Oryzias latipes: one gene and its partner. Each later gene encodes a partner of the first gene's protein in a complex. Links are inferred from orthologs where the notes say so. Each region holds a gene or a part of one and is shown in the gene's direction. Other genes may lie near its edges. The genes, in order: ik and prpf38a.

Evidence for each region.
Region 2: ik (region 1) and prpf38a share a complex: the UniProt entries of both Homo sapiens proteins name them as parts of the spliceosome B complex. The link is inferred for Oryzias latipes from reciprocal best matches to the Homo sapiens genes IK and PRPF38A.

The regions. Positions count from the first base shown.
Region 1 is NC_019872.2:23,309,724-23,314,306, reverse strand, and holds the start of ik (protein Red), read left to right. Parts: upstream 1-1,564; 5' UTR 1,565-1,769; coding exon 1,770-1,779; intron 1,780-2,760; coding exon 2,761-2,827; intron 2,828-2,911; coding exon 2,912-3,004; intron 3,005-3,068; coding exon 3,069-3,128; intron 3,129-4,388; coding exon 4,389-4,556; intron 4,557-4,583. UniProt on the Homo sapiens protein: Involved in pre-mRNA splicing as a component of the spliceosome. Auxiliary spliceosomal protein that regulates selection of alternative splice sites in a small set of target pre-mRNA species. Required for normal mitotic cell cycle progression.
Region 2 is NC_019862.2:23,723,144-23,726,490, reverse strand, and holds part of prpf38a (pre-mRNA-splicing factor 38A), read left to right. Parts: intron 1-19; coding exon 20-105; intron 106-1,206; coding exon 1,207-1,317; intron 1,318-1,407; coding exon 1,408-1,514; intron 1,515-3,347. UniProt on the Homo sapiens protein: Involved in pre-mRNA splicing as a component of the spliceosome.

The DNA.
Region 1 (4,583 bases):
TAAAAATGTTGAAAAAACATAATTTCGCGACTACACTGTTTCCATCAAATCATAAATATACGAATAAACAAAACTAACTCACTCGATAAGTCATTCCAAGACATGGTTATAGATGTGAACATTACTTTGATTTATAACAGATACAGTCACATTTCTACCACGGCACTGGCGCTCATCATCATCTATCAAAGGAGACGTTGATATCTTATCCAGGCCATGGAGTGACGAGCTCCTTACTTGACTACGGATGAAGACATTTTGTGAAATGGTGGTTTGTGATTTTACAGAGGAGCAGTGGATCCAACACTAACAAATGACGAGCTCAACTTTTGATGATCTCTGATGCTGTTGGACTTCTTGTGGCGCCTACTGTACAGTGTCCAATGCAGCCAGTTCCTACCAAGATGCACATTGCCATTACTATTTGAGTCATATAATTAGAAAAAATTGTTTCCATTGCATTTTTCCTAAATATTTAAGTTTCGATTCACCTCAAAAGCCCAAATATTTTTTCATTAAATGTGAGTTTTTTTCAATTGTGTTTCCATTAGACACATTTGTTATCGTAAATCTAAATTGCACAATTTCATTCATTGTCAATGGAAGCTGGAGTCCCCGGAGAAAACCCACGCATGCATGGGGAGAACATGCAAACTACATGCAGAAAATGGAAAATTCTTGTAGTCTTTCTACAAAGAGAAATAAGACATGATAAAAAATATCTAATGAAGTATTAATAATAACAATAATAATGTATTTATCTGCGCTCTTCCAGACGCTCAAAGTTCTTACAATTATTCTTTCCCTCCTCATTCATACCTGGTGATGGTAAGCTACTGATGTAGCCACAACTGCTCTGGGGCAGAGGTGGCAAATCTATAAACACATGATGGAGAACATAAATCTGCCTTTTGTAAAAAATGGTTTAAAAAATGGTGAAATCTCCAACCCAACCAATCTAGTAAGTTCAGTTCTGCTGTGTTTCTGCAACAGTTTATCCACAGAAACTGGTGGATTATGGGATATTTCAGTCAGAGACAATCCTTCCCTTCTAATCGGAAATTCAAACAAACCTCCACGGACAGAACCTCCAGTGGGTCCTGGAGAGCCTTTAGCTGCAGAGGCTCTCCTGACCAGCAGGGGTCAGTGTAGTGTTTCGGTAGAGTCTTACACAAGCTGGTTTGTCAATATAGTTTTCTAAGCGGAATTTTTATGTATACGTTGGCTCTTATACTTGAAGCATTTAATCCTTTAAACTTCGTGATAATTAAAGGGGGAAAAGCAGTAGAGTTGACAAATTAGTTGGTTCTAAACGTTGACTATTTCATCCGTATTTTAGCTAACTGTAGTGTGTAGAACGCCCGGCAGATGGCGCTGGCGTACTTACGACGCTGCAAACAAAGATGCTGTTCTGTAGTAAATATATATATATAATATGTATAAGACCAATATTTTGCTTATGAACAATGTGTATGCAAGCATGTAAGGAGGTGCATATGTATACTTTCTCTTTGAGTAAAAGAGATTCCCCTCCTCAGTCACATTTCCTCTCCCTCCAGCCCGGCAGGGGACGATAGAGCATCTGCAGTGAACCTGTAGCCTTTTTCCAAACCGGACGGAAGCAGCAGCTTTGCGGAACAGTTGGGAAAAACAAGGACGAAAGTCCGCAGAAAAAAGGAACAGTAGCCAGATTAGACTGCTAACTTTGAGCGAACCGGGCCGGACCTGAGTCCCGTCTTCCTACAGGACAGAAGCAGTTGTCCGTAAAGATGCCTGAGAGTAAGTCAAAGCTGAGTGTTAGCATGCTAGCTAGCCTTTAGCAGCGATGGGAAAACATCCGGTTAATACTGTGTAAAGAAAATAAACTCCACGATTCCTCAGCGCGGGGTCCCGGTCCGGACATTTCAATGTAGACGTATCACGAACTAAAATGACCACTAAGATCCGGGTATCTTTTTTGCGTTTCGGAAAATGCTTAACAACTACATAAAACACAAACACAGTTTTTCTTTACTGATAACTCACTAATGATTGGCGTTGAAAATATTACTAGAGCTCATTCCAGATTCTTAAGCATTGTGTTTTACGGCTTTAATTCAACGAGATTTATGTGAATTACACTACCACTGGTAGGGGTCTTGTTTTGGGGACAGCCGGGCAATCTCCCTCTTTTTGCATTCATCATCCACCTCAGCACAACATAAACACCCGCCTGAGCACAGATGTCAGCTCACCTTTGCACAATAGTATGCGTGACAGAATGAAATGCTTTACATGTGTTGGTTTGTGTGCATGTGTACGTGTAAACTGTAGTTGTGTTAAGTACATGTTGACATTATTGTATTTTTGGAGCCAACATGTATGTTTGTGACACTTGAGTATGTGTGTGGACAGGCGCCGCCCCTTTTGACTAACATTTACATCAGACAATAATGATGATAATCCTCCAGCATCTTGTTGCTTTATGATTGTTTCCCCCACCACCACCTATGTTTTCGTCATCCATATTACCTTAACTCTCTCTCTACTCAGGTGTTGTTTAATATAAAAACATCTCCCAAACGAGCTGGTCTTCCACAGATACCAGTAGACGTCAGTATTAAATAGTGGAGCAGTTTAATTCACTTTGGTTGAGGGGTCAAATGACTTTCTACAGCTTTACTCCACGTGAAGTTCAAGTGACTGTTAGCTTGGGTGAATTGTTTTTTAGGTAAAATTGACCCTTTATCCATCTGCTCACTACCATCCTTTATGTTGCAGCTGAGAGTTACTCCAACCCCCTGGCCCCTGAGGGCCACGAAGTGGACGACCACAGAAGTGCTGCTCAGTGAGTTTCCTCCACCCTTAAACTACCTTGTGCTGCTGACTGCACGTGTTGTCCAACTCTGTGAACACTGATCTGCATCCTCAGGTCCAAACTGACCAATGATGACTTCAGAAAGTTGCTCATGACGCCACGGAGTGCACCTGCAACTGCCCCGCCCACCAAGTCCAGACACCATGAGTGAGTAAAGGATCAGGTGTTGTTCTGTTCTTCCTACAGACACACTCACCTGTGTTTCTTCTAGGATGCCCAAAGACTACAATGAAGATGAGGACCCTGCAGCACGAAGGAGGAAAAAGAAGAGGTGAGCAGCCACACTGTAGACCAGGGGTCGGGAACCTATGGCTCGCGAGCCATATATGGCTCTTTTGATGGTCACATGTAGCTCGCAGACAAATCTTTAATTATACTTTTTTTTTTTCATTAGTCCAGTCCTTCTCGGGCGCGATGCGATGCCGTAGTAGCGGTGCTTGGAGAGAAAACTATCAGTTTACTATTATCTATTATTTCACAGAGTTTGCACCAGCCGGAAACCTGTGAATTGACGTGCCTAAAACTGCGCGTTCCCGTCTCTGAGAATGAGCGCGCATTAGCGGGGACGGGATGTGTGAGGAAGAAAGCAGAGAGTGGGGGGGGGGGCACGGCCAGAAGGTGAATCGCGCAGGGATTGTAAAAACGTAAAACCCGCTGCCCGTCACTCACTGCAGTGTGAGTGTGTGTTTAACTCCGTGTCTGCATGTGATCAGTCTGTCTCACATCTAAAGAACATTCAGACCTACGATCACGTTTAAAGTCTCAACGCCTGCATGAAGCAGAAACTCCCCACATAACCAGACTAGACCATCAGCAAAACTACTACGAGAAATACTCATCATTTATTAGCAACAGGATATCAATGTTATTCAAAATAATCCACAGACTTATTGTACTTTAAAAATGTTGAAATTACATTAAATGCACACATTTATTTGTATATTTAGATTTAAACATATTGTCGCGGACAGAGTTTAACTTGGCTGTTGGGCCGCGTTAAAAGTTCTGGAGGAGTTCACTAAACGCATCATGCAGAGATCTGATTGGCTCTCGGTTCTGTCACTCAGCCTGTTGTTAGGTAGTTTGGACCAATGGGGTTCAGCTATGGGCCAAATAAGGGAAATGGGCGGGCTGGAGCGGGAGTAGGGGAATACAAAGTTGGGAGAAGCGCTCTCGTCTCGGCGGGAGAGATTCAGGAGTTGCTGAATTAATTGTACGGCGTTTGTTGCGGTCTATAGTAACCAGAATAAAGAACTTTAAAAGAGGTTAAGTCTCCGTGCCTCAGTTGGGAAAGGGACACTACATTATTGTATGTCTCTTTTGAAATTAGATTTAAAAATATGTGGCGTTTATGGCTCTCTCGGCCAAAAAGGTTCCCGACCCCTGCTGTAGACGAATGAGGAGGAAGGCTGGAACTGTGTTCAGTTTGGTTGTAAGACCGTTTCCTCACTTTGACTCCCCTGTCTGCTCACTTGATCCATCATCTGTAATTTATCACGAGTATTGATGATCGATGCTTGTCCACCTGCAGCTACTATGCTAAACTGCGACAGCAGGAGATGGAGCGAGAGCGCGAGCTTGCTGAGAAGTACCGTGACCGAGCGCGAGAGAGGCGGGACGGCGTCAACAAGGACTATGAGGAGACGGAGCTAATCAGCACTACGGCCAACTACCGAGCCGTTGGACCCACTGCTGAGGCGTGAGTACCAGAGCGCAGAACATGACA
Region 2 (3,347 bases), on another chromosome or scaffold:
TTTCTGGTTTTTGATGCAGAGTTTGAGCTGATGCACGTCGACGAGTTCATAGATGAACTTCTTCACGCAGAGAGAGTGTGTGACATCATCCTTCCTCGACTTCAGGTGGGTAACTTCCCAGAAGCCCCCTTTGACTCATAATTGGTTGTACAGTAATGTACAACTATCAGTTGTAGATTTAGAATGTCATACTTGTTTTATCTTTTAAATAGTGCATTTTAAATTTGTAATCTTTAAAAGAAAAAAACTGTCAGTTATACATTTTATTGAAGCTACTGGACCAGTTTTTTTTGGGGGGGGTGTCTATATTTTCCGAAAGCTCTGTAGTCTGTCTCAAATTTATGTTTTAGTTCATGGGGAAAGCATTGGATAGAAATGAAATTAGGGCAAATAGTTTTTCTACACAGTTACCGAGAAATGTGTCTGAAAGAGGAATTTTTTTGTGTTTTTATATTTACTTTAATCGGTTTCAAATCATATTCGTAACCATTTGGATTTTGTTTTTCATTAAAAGGCTTACACCATTCAAAATCAGGTTTTTGAGCTTTTAAGTGTATTGTAATGTTTATTTCTCACTATAAACCCCAAAGCGGTGTTTTGATCCGTTTACGCATTTCTGGGTATTCCTCTAAAAATCTGCATTCTGAGCACCGGCGCCTCCTAACCCACGAAAACGAGCGGGTCCTCACATTGTGACATCATTAAGTGGAGAACAGTCGAAGGGGCAGGAAGAGTCTGCACTGCCAGCACCGCCCCCAGGCTAACACACAAACAATAAATTAAAAGATAAAATAATCAAACATTGATTAAAAATAAACATCAATGCTACTTGCACCTCACGCTTCCCAGCCTGATTTCTCTCTATTAAAATGCGAGCACTAACCTTTGAAATGTGTTTCCTTTATTATTTTGTAATAAATTATTTTGTTGTCATCATTTTTGTGGTTCATTGCAATACATCGTGTCCCCGTTTGTAATTCTTTGCGGACTTTGGACCTCGTCGTTTCTTCACCAAACAAGTGAAGACTCAATGTGTAGTAATGGCGCTTGTGTGTCATGCCGTATGTCCCGTGACGGCCAATCCAGTAACAAATAACAATGAACAAAGATGTAACAACAGTTTTGTCTTTGAGAATTTTTGAGTAAAAACAAACAAGTGACCCCTTTCCTCCATAAAGTCATCGTATCCTTTCCTGTGTGTCACAGAGGAGGCAGGTCCTGGAGGAGGCAGAGATGCTGGACCCTCGGGTCAGCGCTTTGGAGGAAGACCTGGATGAAGTGGAAAGCAGTGAGGAAGAAGATGAGGAGGACGAAAAGGTAACGGCCTTTGATGATGTGTTGATCTCTTGGTTTGGCCGAATATCATTGCAGGAGTTATAACTCCGTGTTTGCTTTCCGTGCCCACAGCCAGAGCGACTGCACTCCCCCGAACCTCACAGGCGGAGTTACCGTGACAACGACAGACCTCGCCGCTCACCGTCGCCACGTTACAGACGCAGCCGCTCACCCAGACGGTGGGTGTTGTCTCAGATCTTATGTCGTTCATGTACAGTGCTCAGCATAAATGAGGACACCCCACTACATTTGTCCGAAAACCTTCAGTGTTCTTTTGGAATTAACATTTTTCTACACAGGTGGACCATTGATTGCAAACCAGATATTTTAAGTTGCACACAAAAACGTGTGTTTTTGTTTTTTGACCTAACAAATTAGGTCACGCCCACGTTGTAAAAAGGAGTACACCCCAGTCAGAGTCTTAGGAGAAAAGCCAAACTTAAGACTACAGAATTCTAATTATCAGGCATTCAACCACAAGTGAGTCTACTGATTCATTTAAGACGTGTACAGCACAGAGGTGGCTAGAAAAGAGCATTTAACCAAAGAAAAGCCTGTCCTTTCTCAGATATTGTGACATTTCTTTTCCATGGGTAGCTATCGGAGACAGCATGAAATGGGAAGGGCTTTTTGGATCGTAATCTAAAAATTTAAGAAAGATGGAAGTGCAACCATCTTACAGAGACGTCCAGGCCGTCAACAGAAGCTAACATCTGAACAGGAGCGTCTTCTGATGAGAAAGGTTGAAGAAAATCGCCACTGTAGTTCACTGCAGTTAGCTAAAGCAGTAGAACGCCAAACTGGAGTGACCGTTTCCCGTGACACCATCCGGCGCACGCTGCAGAGGAATGGCACGCATGGTTATTGTCCACGAAAGAAGCCTTTCCCAAAGCCCGTGCACAAAAAAGCACGTCTAGAATTAGCTAAAAAAGATAAAGGCCTCAATACTCTGAAGTGATGAGACAAAGATCCCCCTTTTTGGAACTAATGGTTTTAAAACTATGGTGTTGCTGAAGTGAGAATTTCAAAGAAAAATGCATGGTGCCTACAGTGAAACATGGTGGTGGCAGTGTGCTGATGTGGGGCTGCTGGTGTCGGGGAGCTGCATTTCATTGATGGCATCATGAACTCAACAATGTACTGCTCTATACTAAAGGAGAAGATGCTGCCATCACTTTATGCACTTGGTCAAGGAGCACTTTTCCAACACAACAATGATCCAAAACACACTCCTGAAGCTACTGCTGCATTTCGGAAGAACAGGGTGAAGGTGATTGGATGGCCAACAGTGTTAGAAATAAGGGGGAAAAAATGGTTGTCCGAGGCAAGTAAACTTGGTTGTCCTCCCCAATTTTTGGTTTTCCTTCGATACCAATGAATTCAACAGCAACTAAACCTACTCAGATGTCAGTACTTACATCTTTATTTCTTCTATACATCTAATATTAACTGCCTCTTATGATGGACATTTAAAAAACTCTTTAAAATTAAAAACAAACATTTTACTAAATACTGAAGCATCTGGTTACACAAAGTATTGCCAAAAACTTGAAACCAATATCTTTATAACTAGTATCTTTACACAGATTTAAATATATTGGTTATTTTTTTCTTTGGTTTTTGATAATTGTTCCTTAAAGAATATAAAATACCAAAACTGTTGTAAAAAATTTAGAATATTATATCAATCCCATGGAAAAAGTTTTTTTTTCCAGCTCATGTCAGTCTGTTCTGTTATGAGTGAAAGTTATAGTGTTTATGAATGTGTTTTAAATCTTTTTGCGTGTTTTTGGAGACCTCTAGCGGTCGCGCCAGGTACTGTTGTTCAACACTTCTATTTGAAAAATCTTTATTGAAAAGTGCACATGTAGAAACAGAAAGGATTCGTTAGCATGATGCATGCACTTCGTTTGTCGGTGGAAAGAATTAGCTGCATACGTCTCAATTCAGAGGTTACCAAAAACTAACCCGTGAAACTTGAAAAATAGTCGAAAAATACCAAAATGTTGAAT